Nothobranchius furzeri: one gene and its partners. The protein of the gene in region 4 interacts with the protein of the main gene of each other region in a pairwise test. Links are inferred from orthologs where the notes say so. Each region holds a gene or a part of one and is shown on either strand. Other genes may lie near its edges.

Region 1 (4,265 bases), on a different chromosome or scaffold from region 4:
AAGAACTTTTCTTTAAACTCTACCAGCTCGACGAGTTTGATCCTGCATGTCTTGGGTTAGACACTTACCTCGAGTCATGACATTATTCTCACATACGTAGCTTAAACCAATTGTGGCTCAGTATACCGTTGATTGACGCATAAATAGCAAAGGACTCCAAATGGTCTGCTTCCACAAGCTGATTAAGAACTACTGTGATTGGTGGATTGCTGCATGTCCACAAACTGTCTAAACATCACCTGTGCGAAGACATTTCCCATTGTTAGTATTGGTTGGAACAATCAGAAAGACGACCCCTGGCCCAGCAAAATAAATGACTGACTCTATATTTCTGAGTTTAAAATCAAAACAATATACTTGAACTTCTGCTAGAGAGCAAATCTAGCATCATGAAGTGGGTTACAGTTAAGACCGTCTCTTACCTTTCCTCTGCAGAAAGAGCCGGAGTAGAGGGTTCGCTGTGGAGATTGCCTTGTGGTAGTTGTCATCATTGTTGATGGGCAGCAGGTCCCCGTGAACATCAGCGTAGGCCACCAACAACTCCACATTGGGGATGTGATGTACGTGCTGCAGGAGCCCATAGAACTCATCGAAGCGACCTGGTTTCGACCGGTCCAGCGAGAACCGACGAAACTCAGCACCAAACTGGGACGGGGCAGACAGGTATTAGGACGCGAGAATAAATATGCAAAAAGACATCAAAAAGGTTAGAACTAGAGCTGCTGGGATGTAGAAAAAATGACGTGGAAGGAGTAATGAGTATAAAACCGTAATGAGTCTGGCTTCCACATGTAAAAGCTAACATAACACATTATTAAACACTGCGACTAGACAGCATGTGTTTGTAGGGATGCACCGATACGATACTGGTATCGGCACGATACCGATACCAATACCAGTATTGGTAAAAGTTAACCGATACCAATGCAGTTGCTTGAAAATGGCTTGACTGTAACTTGTCATTTCTGTTCACCTAATATTTTAGTTTTGTGATCATTTCTATTCATATATTTTACTTTTTATCTACCTCACAGTCTTTCCTGTTGAAAGCAGAGAAGAAAATAAAATCTGTATTCCAAATCATTGCATTTTTTTGTGTGGTAGAAGTATCGGTATAGGTAATCGGTATCGGCGAGTACTCAGATCCAAGTATCAGTATTGTATCGGTCTGGGAAAAAGTGGTATCGTTGCATCCCTATGGGTTTGTGGATGCAATAAATTCAAGAGGTGAATAAGACCGTCTTATCAACAGGCCTTACAGGATGTTTGGTTCTGTCATCAGACAAAACAAGGTGTTGTCAGCTAGGGATGTCCCGATACAACTTTTTCAGTTCCGATACGATACCGATATTGCAGCCTTCAGTACTGACCGATACCGATATCAATCTGATACGATATCAGCACAAATCATACATACTTTTACCTATTTCGTAGTGTGGAATGGATGAAAGGCTTGATGAGGTGATATTACTCAATCGGAGAACAAGAGCCAATGACAGTAAGTATGAAAAAAATGACAATTTTTTCTTAACCATTGGTTGCAAATATGTGAAGCTTAATGGACTGCTTATATGAGAGATTTTTGATGCTGTCTGATATAATCCCATACTCTGTTTGTTGGCCAACATCCAATTACTTCAGATATCGATATCGGAATGGAACATCCCTATTTTCAGCTCAAATGCATCCCCTAATAAACGCTGCAGGTTAGTAGATAAATGGTCTCAGATGCCTGATCTTCTGGCAGCTGTGTAGCTGACACACACACACACACACACACACACACACACACACACACACACACACACACACACACACACACCAATGCCTCATTGCTGATGTTGACAGGAAGTAGTGGTTGTTGTGGTTACCGTTGCCAAGCACTGACAATGAACAATCTCTAATTCACTGGTCACTAGTTACTCATCAGAGCACAGATATGTACACAACACAGGTTTGGAGGTAAAAAGGTGAGTCCTAAATATGAGGAAAGGGAACTATTTAGTTCCTCTTCACATCTCAGTTTGGAAAACACACTTCTATAACTTTGTGATGAGGCTGAGAAGCATGTTAACCCAAAAGAAGTTATAAAAATTAAACTAGTACTATCATAACAACAAACAGTAACTACGGTACTTATGCTGTGGACTAGACACGGCTAGCTGGCCGCGGAAGGAGCCAGGCTACCACCTGCTGAAGCCGAATGACACCTGCACACCAGGAACAAATAGTTCCATGACCAGCAGGTAGCGACACCTTCGTGGAGGCTTTAATGGTCATTAACGATTAAAAATCCGTTACATAAACGGGAGGTTGGGGAAACGTCGGTAACCGAATAGAGGGAGCGGCGGAGGAAGTGACAGGTGACACTGGCCCGACCAGCTGACACGAACCTCCACCTTCAAACTTACAGAATAAAACTAACTAAATGTTCCTGCGTCACACTGCGCTCAAAAGTTACCGCCGCTTAGAGAGGGTCCGAATCAGCGCAGTTTATACGTGCCATTAGCGCGCGACCATAGCCAGCCGAGCCACTTAGCAGGCTAAATTAGCTAGAGTAATCGCCACAGAGTTAGCGCGTAAAACTGAGAAAAACGTCCCGTCTCACCTTGCTCTTCACCTCCACGGCACTCAGAGAGCGGCTGCTCGGCACTCGGTGGGTCTTGTTCATGTTTCGGTAGCAGCGGGACCGCCGCCAAGGCACTCATAAACACACACCGCCCTGCTGCAGTTACCGTAACACCGAAAAGAGTGGTATTTTTCCAGGAACACAAACTGTCCCGCCACGTCTCGGCGTCCACCGGTCGCTGAAGTCGCTCCCAAAAACGTTGCGACGGCTGTCAAGCAGCCTGTCTCAGTCTGTGAACTTCTCTCCTCTCATTTTTGCAACTCTGGCTCCGACGCCGCTCAGTTGGTGCCTCTCGGTGTGTGTCCGCCACCCGCCCCCGAACGGACCGTCTGCCTCTTCAGAAGCTGAAAGACCCGGACGCTTCAAAATAAAAGCCTCTGTGACTCCGCTGGCTTCAAAATAAGGTTCGTTTTTATAATCGCATTACAAAAACCTGAAAGGGTTTGGTAATCTTAATCCAAGCAACAAGATTAATACTAGATGGACAATAAATCACATAAAAATATTATGTTTCTCTCTCTCTCTCTCTCTCTCTCTCTCTCTCTCTCTCTCTCTCTCTCTCTCTCTCTCTCTCTATATATATATATATATATATATATATATATATATATATATATATATATATAAGAAGTTATAGATAAAAGTATGTATGATTTGTGCTGATATCGTATCAGATTGATATCGGTGTCGGTCAGTACTGAAGGCTGCAATATCGGTATATATACATACATATATATATATATATATATATATATATATATATATATATATATATATATATATATATATATATATATATATATATATATTGAGTCCAGTTTTACAGCTTAAAAATAAAGTTAAATGTATTCAAAGCACAGTCATTATTCCTAATTGCACAGAGTGCAATAAATGAAAGAATAAATCTGTTTAGACAAACACATTTTTCATGATGTCCTGATTTGCAGCAAACGTGCCTTGTAATCAGGTTTAATGTATTTATACTATTAACAAGTTCAATAAGTTTGAAGAAAGCATTAACCACGTTGACTTTTTATTCTAACACTACAGCGCCACCCCCTGGCCACAAAGTGAGGTCACTGCAGAAACAGGCATGTTTTACCAACAGTGTGAAGACCTTATAACACTAGTTTATAATTTTATACAGATTACATTAAATCAAATCTAAAATAAGAAAATATGTCATTAATTTCTAATGTCTTTGTAAACTAATTTGTCATTTGACATGTGGAAAGTCTCTTATAATATGTAATAACATGGAAAGTGAACCTAGCAGAAACTAGTGTATTTATATATGAAATCACCTTCATCACTGCATCCAGTAAATTAAATGTCGTGGTCTTTTTTTCCAGATTTAATCTAAAACTGCATTTCTGGTTTGGAAGGATGCGGCTCCCGGGTGAAATGAGGATTCCTCTAACTGTTTCTGCAGCTCTGTTCATGAAATATAATGTGGATTAGGCCTTTGTTTTCCTTTTTCCTTCAAAGTGAAACAGTGACAAATTAAAAATGAACTAATCCCAGAAATAAACTGAGACATGTCAGATAGTGATGCCAGAGCTCGGCTCTTTCACCGCCTCCTCCAGCTCATAAAGCGCTCCTAATGAGCAGAAGGTCAGCTCATCCTTTTGTTGTC
Region 2 (3,653 bases), about 32 Mb from region 4:
ATGCTCAGATTTCCCAGAATGCAGCAGATCAAAATGATCAGAAACGGACTGAATGACGCTTCAGAAGGTCGTCTCCCCTCTGCAGCCGCCGCTCTGATCCCATCGAACAGTTCTGAGACATTTTGGCTTCATGCAGACATCCGATTGGCTCGTTTTCACCTGTCTGCCCGTTCCCGCCTCTGCGAGAGCTGGACAGGACCTAGAGCAGATTTTCGTTGGTCTGATTCTTCCATCAATTGTAATGAGGAGGGTGCAGGTGTGAGAATGAAGCGCGCCTTTGGAATAAAGAGGTTAAAATAACTCGTCTCTGAGATGTTTGGGTTCATTCCTCGGCACCAAACGGGTTCAGGAGGGCGGGAGGAGCCGCCGTGGCTCAGGTTAAGAGTTCTCCCTGTAACCGGTGGGTTGCAGGTTCAATCCCAGGCTACCATCGGCGTGTGAATGGATGAATGTTTCACTGTAGGGTTTGGAGTGCTGTTGGGCTGAATGCAGAAAACTATCAGAAAGGTTTAAATTCTTTATTGTTTCTATCAAACGTTGCAGCAAGACCGACCGTAAAAATTCATTATTCACACACAAACGGACCACGAGCCTGAAGCTAACGGAGGAAAACGGAACACCACGATTCCCAGTCCCAGAAGTGGTTTTACTGGAAGGTGACCAGTAAGACCTGATCTCCAAACAGCTGCAGGTGAAACCAGCACCAGAGGAACGTTCATGACTACATGAATCACTGGGAGGCTGCTCCACAGAGAAGACCGGCTCATCCCTTGGGTTTAGCGGTTGACTCCTGGATGATTGACAGGTCAGAGGTCAACATCTGAATAAGATCAGCTAGTGAACTGGTTAACAGCAGCCAACGTTAAAGACCTTCATGAAATCTGGAGAGCTGCTGATGTTAAAGTAGAAGGTCCGACTGGTGGGCAGGAGAACCGCAGCAGGAACGGCGGTTCTGGATCTCAGGAACGTGCCGGCTTGTTTCTGATGTACAGATACTGAGTCTGGAGATGAAAACGGAAACCGGTCGGTTCCTGTTGATTTAGCTCTTGTGGTGCGTTCACCGACACAAGAAAATCAGTTTTTAGAGTTTCACGTAGAAACGTAAATCAGCCATCTGGATGCCCTGAAGGCAGCGGCTAAAGGACGGAAACACGGTTCACACGGGACGGCTGCAGCAGCTCAAAATATTTACAAGCTAGTTTACATCTCGGGCAGCATCAGTTCACTTCAGTCCTCCTCATCCTCGTCTCCTCCAAATGACAGGAGGCTGTTGTTTTTTACTTTACTCCCGGTTTTCCCCTCCTCCCCCCCTTTTCCTGCTTCACTCTTCTTCTTCTTGCTGGAAGTGGCAGTGATGCCTTGGAACTTGTCTGAAGAGGAGCGCTTGGCCGGCTTCTTGAACAGGATTTTGCCTTTAGAAGGGGCCTCGCTACCTGTGGGCAGAGCGGGAGTGAGTAAGAGTGTGTGTGTGTGTGTGTGTGTGTGTGTGTGTGTGTGTGTGTGTGGTAACCACAGTCTGACCTGCTGCATCTACTTGATCGTCCTTTCCATCCTTAATCGTCTTCACCTCCTCTGCAGTCAGATCTCCACTCTTTAGAACCACAACTTGAGGTAACTCGTCCTCTCGATCGCTCCCGCCGTCATCGTCCAGATCTGGCATCACCTGGCGCTGAGATGCAAACCGGAAGGTAAAACCTACAGTTCTGATTTTGATCCTGAAAGACTTCTTCTGTATCAAACTAATTTCACAATCAGCGTAAAACCAAATGTAGTTTTGAACTCTCACCAAACCACCCCGGCCTCTAAACCTGGCCAGTGGCCCAGTGGTGTGAGTGTATGATTGTAGTGGGAGGCCGGGGTTCAAATCCCGCTCGGGTCACACCCAGGACTAGTGGGACCTCCCTGCTTGACACTCAGCATTAAGGGGTTAAACCACCAAATAGTTTCCGAGCGCAGCCATAGCTGCAGCTCACCGCTCCCCACGCGGACGGGTCACGTGTAAAGTCACCGCTATGTTGATGACTAACGGGACTAACTAGCAGTGATGCTGGGTTAACAGCTGATGAGTCTCACATCCCATCTGAATCAGAGGTTAACCAGCTGGTGACGGAGTCCTGTTTACTCCGCGCAGGTAACCCAACCCTACCTTCGTGTCGACGTTGGGTCCTTCTTTGAAGCCGACGTCACTTTTAAACTTGGTGAGGAACGACGGTTCCGCCGGTTTCACCCACGAAACCCCGCTGCTTCTGTTTTTATTCATTAGAAACGGCACAACAACCACGAGCTACGGGCTAACGCGACTTCCGCACAAAACACGGAAACCACGCGATAAGACGCGCGGCGGGTCACGTGACCCTCACGAGCAGCTGTGATTCGTGCATTCTTAAGTCAACCGGAATAGAAGACTTTCAGAATAAAGGTTGGAATTGTTTCGGCTTAAACTACTGGTGTTTAGACTGAAAGTGCGGGTTTGATTATGCGTGTTTGCCATTTGGGGAAAACAGTTGATTTATAAAAATGATGATAAACAAGACTTGATTTATTTAAAAACTACAACTGCGTAAAAAAGATGAATTTCCTAGATATAACCTAAACACATTTACATGTTGCACATTAGAAAAACATACAACATAAACTTAGTGTTACAGAATATATCAGCGAACTGAGCAACAAATATTTTCTCCTGGCTTAAAAATGTCAGTAAAGCCAAAACGTGATTCAAATAAGACCTTTATTGTGAAATCTCACCGCACCTGCCCACATGGGATGACAAACTTCCGTTCAGGTGGTGCTTGTAGTTCCAAGTAGTCTTGTTACTGTACTACTTCCTCTGAGATGCTTTGCGGATCTCTCTACGCGCTGTTTGCGGGTTTTCTGGGCGCCGCAGCGTCTCTGTCCGCTAAGCTGTCCCTGGGTCCCGCTTACCTGCAGGAGATGTGCGACTCCGCGCTGCGCGGCTGGTCTGAAGGAGCTTCCGTCTGCGGATGGGTAATAACTACTTTTATTAGATCTTACAGCTTCCGTCTTGCAGATCTCTGACATCGCAACTTTTCTGGAGTCTTGTTGAACCTTCTTCCGGTGTGGAGCAGGTGCTGCGCACAAATGTGTTCCCCGTGAAAGACTGGTCTTCATTTCCAGCCATGGGGGGTGTTTCCTGGTTAGATCTGCTACAGAAGCTAGCGGAAACACTTTTCATGCCTCTCAACAACGTCCTAACATGGTGTAGCTGTAATCATGTAACGGAGACAAAAACCGGAATAAACGGTGAAGCACCGATCTGTTACGGTCAAAAGAGAAGGATACTGAACACCAGGGGAACACATTTCGATAAAACACCGGAAGTTTTGTCCCTGCTTTCAGATGCACGTGCCCCTGCGGTTCTTGTGTGGAGGTCTGCTGCTCTGCTGTAACGCGGTCATGTGGACCATGTTCTCCAAGGCTCTCCGCCATGCCTCCTCCTCCGCGGGGGCCACGGTCACCACCACGGCGTCCAACTTCATCTGCTCGGTCAGCGTTTGTCTGTCCTGTCCTCGCTCACGTGCTCCAGGTGAAAGCGGTCCCGTTCACGTTGCCTCTGCTGTGATTGTGTCCAGGGACTCCTGGGGAGGCTGGTCTTCAGAGAGACACACACCTCTCTGTGGTGGGCAGGGATC
Region 3 (4,116 bases), on a different chromosome or scaffold from region 4:
TACAAAACTGGAATGAAGTTTATGTTAAGGATGTTAATGTTGCATATGATAAATTCATGAAAATCCTAATGGAACTAAATAATAAACATTGTAAATTACAACAAATTAAGTTTGGTAGTGAACTTCATCCTTGGTTGACTAATGGCATAAAGAATGCTTGTGTAAAGACAAACACTTTGTACAGACGTGTTCTTAAATTACAGACGGAGGCTGAGGAAAAATATAAAAAACATACAACTAAATTAACCACAATCATAAGGAAACACAAAAATAATTATTATAGTGAATTGTTAAACAGAAATGAAAACAATTCACAAGCTACCCGGGGAATAATAAACAGTGTGACCACCAGGGTAAATAAAGCTGATTCTAATTTGCCTAGTTACTTTGTCAAGGGACAAACTGATATTTATGACTTCAAAGAAGTCACTAACGAGTTTAATGACTTCTTTGTAAGTGTAGGGACTAGTTTGATACGTACAAAACCAAACGTAGAAGACAAACTGAATACTATTACAGAAAATCCTAATAGCATTCACCTTACTAAGGTTGAAAAGAATGAAGTGATTGACATTGTAAAAAACTGTGGAAACAAAAGATCTAATGATAATGAGGATTTGGATATGATCATGGTAAAAAGTATAATTGAAACTGTTGTTGAACCATTTACATATATTTGTAATTCGTCACTTTCATTGGGAGTATTTCCTAATGCAATGAAAATGGCTAAAGTGGTCCCATTATTTAAGAATGGTGATAAACAAAATGTTACTAATTATCGACCAAAATCACTGCTTCCACAGTTTTCTAAAATTATGGAATAAATCTTTGTTACACGGATGGATACGTTTATTGAGGAAAATAGTGTTCTAAATAATGGACAGTATGGCTTCAGGGCCAATCACTCAACTGCTATGGCTATAATGGAATTGGATAATAGAATATCAACAGCAACAGACAATAAACAATATTTTCTAAGTATTTTTATTGATTTAAAAAAACTTTTGATGTTATAGATTATGATAGGTTATAACAAAAATTACATGGCTATGGAATCAGAGGTGTGGCACATCAATGGGCGAGAAGTTACTTAGAAAATAGAAAACAATTTGTTCAGATAGATAATATTAAATCACAATTGAGGGAAATTGGTCATGGTGCTCCTCAGGGGTCAGTTCTAGGCCCAAAACTGTTTTTATTGTACATAAATGATTTAATGAATGTATCTCCGCAACTTGGAAGCTTATTATTTGCTGACGATACAACTTTGTTTCATTCAGGGTCTAACATTGCTGAAGGTATCAAAGAGATAAATGATGAGTTAATGAAAATCACAAACTGGTTTGACACAAACAGGTTGTCACTTCATCTTAAGAAAATTAACGTATCGTTGAAAATGGATGGTATGGGACTTAAGAGGGTAAAGGAAATCAAATTTTTGTGTGTTATGTTTGATGAAAATCTTTCATGGAAACCCCATATTATACACATTAAGGGTACAATAGCTAAGGCCATTGCAGTATTACACAGAATTTAAAGTTTATTGAATAATTCTGGAATGTTAACTCTCTATAACGCGATGATTACACCATATTTGATGTGGGGCAGAGCTTCATAAGATGTATTCTTCTGTCTGCTCCTTTGGATAGAATTTTATGTTTATTGATTTTATTCTGATCTTGTTTTTTTTTTACATATTTTTTTCTTTGAATGAAATAAAGAAGCAAAATAAAAAATGAAAAAACAAAAATAATGCTACTTTAGGTGTAGACGTTGATTCATACCTATATTTCTATTAGAAAAGTACAGCTAAGAATAATGCAGGGCCGATGCACAATGTTTCTGAATTTTTGGAGATTGTATTAATCATGATCAATGTCATAATGAGAATTAGAATTATTTATCACTCCACAAGACTGTACGATGAAACTGAGGACTATGCTAATTTATGCTGGTTACAAAACAAGTTATGCATTAATATTGAAGCAATAAAGTAATCTATGGGGAGAAACTCCAGCTGAATGGCAGGGTAGTGGGGCTAAAGGTCACCATCTACTGGTGTGATTAATTATTGCCAACACGCTATATGATCTCCTCCCTGGTTTAGTAACAGACATTATAAATATAATCAGTATTATGAATGAAAAAGAAAGAGCCTCAGTCTAAGAAAAACTTATTTACATGAATAAAAGTGAAAAACATTAAATTTCGTAATGACATGCTGTCTATTATTGAGTCTCAACCGCTGGAAATAAAGGTTTCTTTTAAAGTTTTAAATTTTTTTTTTTTGCTGTGGTTCCTCATGAGGACTGGAATGTCAGACCTAAACAAAGTAGTTGCTTTACTTTTTGGTCAAAGTTTAAATTTAGTTGCAGCTCTGCTCAAATTACTAGGAGCAAAAAAATGCAATGTAAGAAAGTTATGCCCGACACCATTTGGAGTTAACTCTTGGGTTACCACAAAAAATAAATAAACGCAGGTAATCAGTTACTTCATTTTGTAAACAAGTTCAGAACTGTGTTTAAACGGTAAGTTAGAAAACACACGTAAAACTCTTTAGCAGAGCTGCTTTGCTAGGCTAAAGCTGAAACTTGATTCAACCTGGGTGGAAATCGGGCGTCTTCATGTCCTCCCCATCGTCTAATTTTTTCAGATACTGATGGACAAGTTGTTCCTTATCTTCAGTCGTAGCCTCATCTAAATCACATTCAAGCTGACTCTGTAAAGGAAAAAGTGTAGAGAGACTGCACTGGGACGCCATGTTGACATCAACAACAAATTTACCCGGAAGTATCGCCGATTGCCCAACAGCAAATTGCCCAATCAGAACCGGGAATCTCAACAGCCAATCACCGCCGAGCTATAAAGTAATGATGTAGATTCCCAACCCTGGTTTCGATACAAACGTGAAACAAAAATATTGTTCCTGTAAAGAAAACCTTTAATATTACACCTATTTTAAACGGAGTTAATCAAAGTTTTATGAAAATTTATATTTTCAACTGATAAAGTCAGCTAAGTAAGGAGTTCTAGTTCAGTGATTGTGTAGAAAGTGCGGCTGGGTTGATCTTGGAGTATTAACGTTAGTAACCGGTTTACTGTGTGGCGGTAAGTGTTGCTTGCACTAAAACATTCAGGAGGAAACGTTATATTTTAAGAAAACATGACTCTGTCGTAATTAATTACTTATTTTTCGATGATTACTTAGCGTAGAATTCATGCAAAGCAATAAGGACCATCTGTATTAGCACAGCAGTCGTCCCTGGAATGTTATCCTTCAGCAGTACTAGTGTAATAAAGAGTGTTGTGGGGAAACGGTTCAAATGTCACAAAAGGACGACTCTGAAAGCGACATTTGGGATTATAAACCCCTCATGAAGAAAAAAAGAAGCAATAAATCACAGTTTGTGACCAGAAGATGCCCTTCTAGGAAAACGTCCAGGAAAGACACTTCTGTTCCAGTCAAGTCTCACAAGGAGAGTAAAACAGAAGAATCAGGCGAAAGTGGAGCTGCTGCTGGGGATGAGGAGGAAGACAGCAGGTTAGAGGCTACCCTGTTGACTCCTGCTAAAGAGACAGTCGAAAGAGACAGTCATGAGGCAGGGACACCCTCTGAAGACTACTGTCCCATCTGCCAGATGCCTTTCTTCATTCTGGTTGTTCAGTCCCAGAGGTGGCACGTTGCTGAGTGTCTGGACACCTGCAGAGACAAATGTGAAGGTAAAACTGACACATCTAACACACACACACACACACACACACACACACACACACACACGTGATGGGCTGTATTTGCATTTACACTCATCTGTTTTAGCCTCTCTTGACATGATGCTTATTAATGTATTCCTGCTCCGATGCTCAGAGCTTATATCCCCATGACAACCAGGAGAAGAATACTCTTCTTCCTTCCTTCACTCATGTTTACTTCTAGTCTACATCTGCAGTGTTTTCCAACTTTTGGGACATTTGGAATCTGATTACGGGCATTATTCTGTTCATTAATCATCCATCCCGGTGTATATCAACTCTCCTGTTGGCATGGTTACTTGTTATAACAGATGTTCACTAGTGCCTGAAGAAATTGTTGAAGCAACACACGATTCAAATCAGTCT
Region 4 (3,514 bases):
GCTGAAGCTACAATGGAGCGTGGCTAGACCGACCTGCAGAGCTAATAGTTTTGCTAGTTGGTCTAAAAGCTAAAGGCTGTTTTAAGATAAATTCATTATTATCTTAGTTTGCAGGAGAGATCGAATGAGAGGCGGGCCAAAAGTGGCCCTGGGTCTAAATGGAACATTAAATGTTAAGAAAAGCAAATTAAAACAGTAACAAAAAGCCAGAACAACCGATGTTTGTGGTAAAATGCGTTCTGACCTGGAAGTCAAAGACGCAGAGCTCTACGGCATCAGAGGGCTGGCAGTTTGCCAGGAAGCTCTGGTGGTTGAAGACACAGCCCACGGTCCGGTACGGGGAAGAAGGCTTGGGTTGGAGGGCCAGGGGAGGTGCGTCTGGATCAACGGCTCGGTGCAGATATCTGATCACGCAAACAGGAAATAAATGTCCTGTGGGCCAAAGCCTGGCTGCTGGTTTCAGGGAAATTTCATCATAAGACTCTGAGTTAATCCTGTTTATTTCTCTCACACACACACACACACACACACAGATAAACAAAACGCAAACACATGTACATACACACTTACGTACACACACACACACACCCTCACTCTCTCCTTCTCTCTCTCTCACACACACACACACAAAACGCAAACACATGTACATACACACTTACGTACACACACACACACACACACCCTCACTCTCTCCTTCTCTCTCTCTCACACACACACACACAAAACGCAAACACATGTACATACACACTTACGTACACACACAGACACACCCTCACTCTCTCCTTCTCTCTCACACACACACACACACACACACACACACACACACACACACACACACACACACACACACACACACACACACACACACACACACACACACACACACACACACACACACACACACACACACACACACACACACACACACACACACACACACACACTAAAACAAAGGACCACTGTGGACTAATTAGGTTTTCTCTGAAATGTCAAAGACAAACGTTAAAAATGCACCTATGTGCCGTCAGACTTTCCCAGAAGGTGATGGTCCCGTCGGTTCCACGGGTCAGGACCCAGGCGTGTGAAACACCTTTGGCTTTGGTGCCCACACACATGTATGCATCTAGACCAAAGCCCAGCAGGAGGCTGCACAGGAGAGCAGCATGGTCCTCACAGTCTCCCTGGAAGGACAAAGCACACAGGACGAGGAAAGTCACCTTTTACGATACCCTAAGTTACTTCTGTCAGATCCTAAGCTGTTTGTGCATCATCCTAAGTAACCTTGGGGAGATCTTAGGTTATGTTTTGATCGACTGACCACAAATCTTGTATTGCCAGCAAATCTTTCTTATCCAAACTGGGGAACAGCAGCACCTGTGATGTTTTAAAACTGAATGAGTCTTTTTGGTGCACTCTCGGGCTTTCTCATATGCGACGAGTCTGCAGAAGAAGACATAACCCTAACTACTCTCATTTCAGCTGAACGAGCCTTCTAGTGAAGAGGCCTCGGCTGAACCGGGACTGCTAGATGATAGATGTTCCACAGAAGTGCTAATGTGGACGGCAGCACCAGAACAGGTGGGCGACTGATGGGCTAAATTAATTTTCCCTGGAATGAAACTCATAAATCACCACTGACAAGGACCACTTTGCCAGAATTGTGCTGCGTCTGTCTCGCCGGCCTCTCACAGAGAAGAGGAACTGAACATTTATCCTGTGGTGGTCTGGGAAACTCCCCACCATCAAGGCAAGATGACCTCAGGAACAACACTGCCCTGCTCAGAAGTTAGGGTCATGCGAGGGCAGCCGGGCCACATTTCTGAGAGGAGGAAGCTAGTTAGTTTTCAGTGCAGCACACTCACCCTGCATGTAGGAGGTAATACAAGTTTTCTATAAGAACTCTGCAGGGAAGCGATGCAGCTACAGCCCCAAACCCACAGCGTTCTATTAAAAGGTGGAAAACTACAGGTCAGGTAAACACGACTTCAACACCGTCCTCTGCAGCCCGCGGACAAACGGAAGCACCAGCGATCTCTGATGATGGCTCGAGGCATCAGTCGAAACATGTCATTTGTATTTTGTAATTTGAATTGCTTTTATTTCTGAATTGCTATTATTTTTGATTTATTCACTATATTTGTACTTCTACTGTACCATGTTCAGCGCCTTGGGCTTCCTGACAGGGTTGAGGAAGGCGCTTTACAAATAAAGCTTTGATTGATTGATTGATTGATGTCAGGTGAAAAACTCTTTTTTACTAAACTGTAATGGATTATGAAGTGAAACGCAGAACGAACCGCGGATAAACGGAGTAGGAAGTGACGCCACCATCAGCGTCAGCTCTGAGGAAGTTTGCAGCCGCGAACGAAACTGTCAGCAGCAAGGTAAAAAGAAACCTTTTCTGTGTTTTAAAAGAGAACCAACAACGCCGTTAGAAAAGCAACACAGCAAGAACATACCAAAGACAGAACGAACCAACAAAAGACCTAAGAGAACGTCATGTTTCTGACCGTATCCGCTGCACCAGGTGTTACACCACTTCCTATGACTATAGAGCGAGGGCTTGTAGACAGAAGGTTGGACCTTAAAACTGTTACTTTTCAAAATGAAGCCTGTTCGCATGGCTTTTACATGTCGTCCACCTTTAAATGAAAAAAGTACCGTCCAACACCACCAGCTCACTGATAGCCCTAACCCCCCTACAGGACTTGGTATAAACACCGATGACCACCTTGGACTCGTTTCTTGTCGCTGGGATCTGCTGTGATGTCTGTTTGTGACAACCTCTTTTGTTACGAGGTGGATGTTGAGAGAATTCTCTAAACGTGTTTCTCGGTCCTGAAACAAAAGGAAGCGCCAGGCACGTACCTTCCCCCGGCACAGGAACGCCAGTAATGTGCACCACTGCTCCTGCTTGGCCCCCCCTCCCACCACTGGAGGCCTCTGGTGAGCCAGCAGGCTGACGAAGCGGGCGGCCTGTCGAGGACTCTCCAGGAGGCGGCCGGCACGAAGGACACGCACGTACGAACACACTGGTCTGTTGACTCCGTTCTCATCCTGTCAAGCGTGCAGACACCCCCCACAAATCAGGGAATGCTCAGAGATTACATTTAAGGCTGAAGTGTGAGAATTTCTCCTCCCAAAACCACGTCACACACTGTAAGAGAGCCAGTAGACCTCAGAGGAAGTGGTCACTTGCATGTGAAGTGCTAAAGAGGGAGGCAGAACTCAGCAACAATAGCTGACCTGAGCAAAGATCTTCACCAGTTTGGACTGGTGAGAAGGTCGGATCTCCAGGAACTCTCTCCACCACTGCTTGGCATAAACCAGGAAGAGCCTCTCCTTCTCTGCTGTCCTCTGTCTCTCCAGGGATTGCTGAAGGGGGGGCGTACGACATCATCAGCAAACATGTTTCCCTCACAGCTCTGAGTTCGTTTCCACAGATCGTCGCTTCATGAGCACAGTGATGGAGTTCTGCTGTAACCATTCAGTCTTAGACCACAGAGATTAGGGT

What was found.
Region 1: the proteins of cep76 (region 4) and pard6b interact in binary tests that used the Homo sapiens proteins (3 or more experiments, as listed by UniProt). The two-hybrid records come from large-scale screens. The link is inferred for Nothobranchius furzeri from reciprocal best matches to the Homo sapiens genes CEP76 and PARD6B.
Region 2: the proteins of cep76 (region 4) and kiaa1143 interact in binary tests that used the Homo sapiens proteins (3 or more experiments, as listed by UniProt). The two-hybrid records come from large-scale screens. The link is inferred for Nothobranchius furzeri from reciprocal best matches to the Homo sapiens genes CEP76 and KIAA1143.
Region 3: the proteins of cep76 (region 4) and nhlrc2 interact in binary tests that used the Homo sapiens proteins (3 or more experiments, as listed by UniProt). The two-hybrid records come from large-scale screens. The link is inferred for Nothobranchius furzeri from reciprocal best matches to the Homo sapiens genes CEP76 and NHLRC2.

What each region holds. Positions count from the first base shown.
Region 1 is NC_091755.1:48,112,511-48,116,775, forward strand, and holds the start of pard6b (partitioning defective 6 homolog beta), read right to left. Parts: upstream 2,805-4,265; 5' UTR 2,672-2,804; coding exon 2,609-2,671; intron 646-2,608; coding exon 423-645; intron 1-422. UniProt on the Homo sapiens protein: Adapter protein involved in asymmetrical cell division and cell polarization processes. Probably involved in formation of epithelial tight junctions.
Region 2 is NC_091745.1:80,717,568-80,721,220, reverse strand, and holds kiaa1143 (uncharacterized protein KIAA1143 homolog), read right to left. Parts: upstream 2,352-3,653; 5' UTR 2,261-2,351; coding exon 2,147-2,260; intron 1,670-2,146; coding exon 1,522-1,669; intron 1,434-1,521; coding exon 1,228-1,433; 3' UTR 505-1,227; downstream 1-504. Other genes in the region: transmembrane protein 42, read left to right, coding at 2,836-2,988, 3,361-3,507, 3,594-3,653.
Region 3 is NC_091756.1:38,299,114-38,303,229, forward strand, and holds the start of nhlrc2 (NHL repeat-containing protein 2), read right to left. Parts: upstream 2,805-4,116; 5' UTR 2,762-2,804; coding exon 2,602-2,761; intron 1-2,601. Other genes in the region: dclre1a (DNA cross-link repair 1A protein), read left to right, coding at 3,324-3,720. UniProt on the Homo sapiens protein: Required for normal embryonic development.
Region 4 is NC_091745.1:49,058,738-49,062,251, reverse strand, and holds part of cep76 (centrosomal protein of 76 kDa), read right to left. Parts: intron 3,376-3,514; coding exon 3,247-3,375; intron 3,058-3,246; coding exon 2,869-3,057; intron 1,182-2,868; coding exon 1,015-1,181; intron 405-1,014; coding exon 245-404; intron 1-244. UniProt on the Homo sapiens protein: Centrosomal protein involved in regulation of centriole duplication. Required to limit centriole duplication to once per cell cycle by preventing centriole reduplication.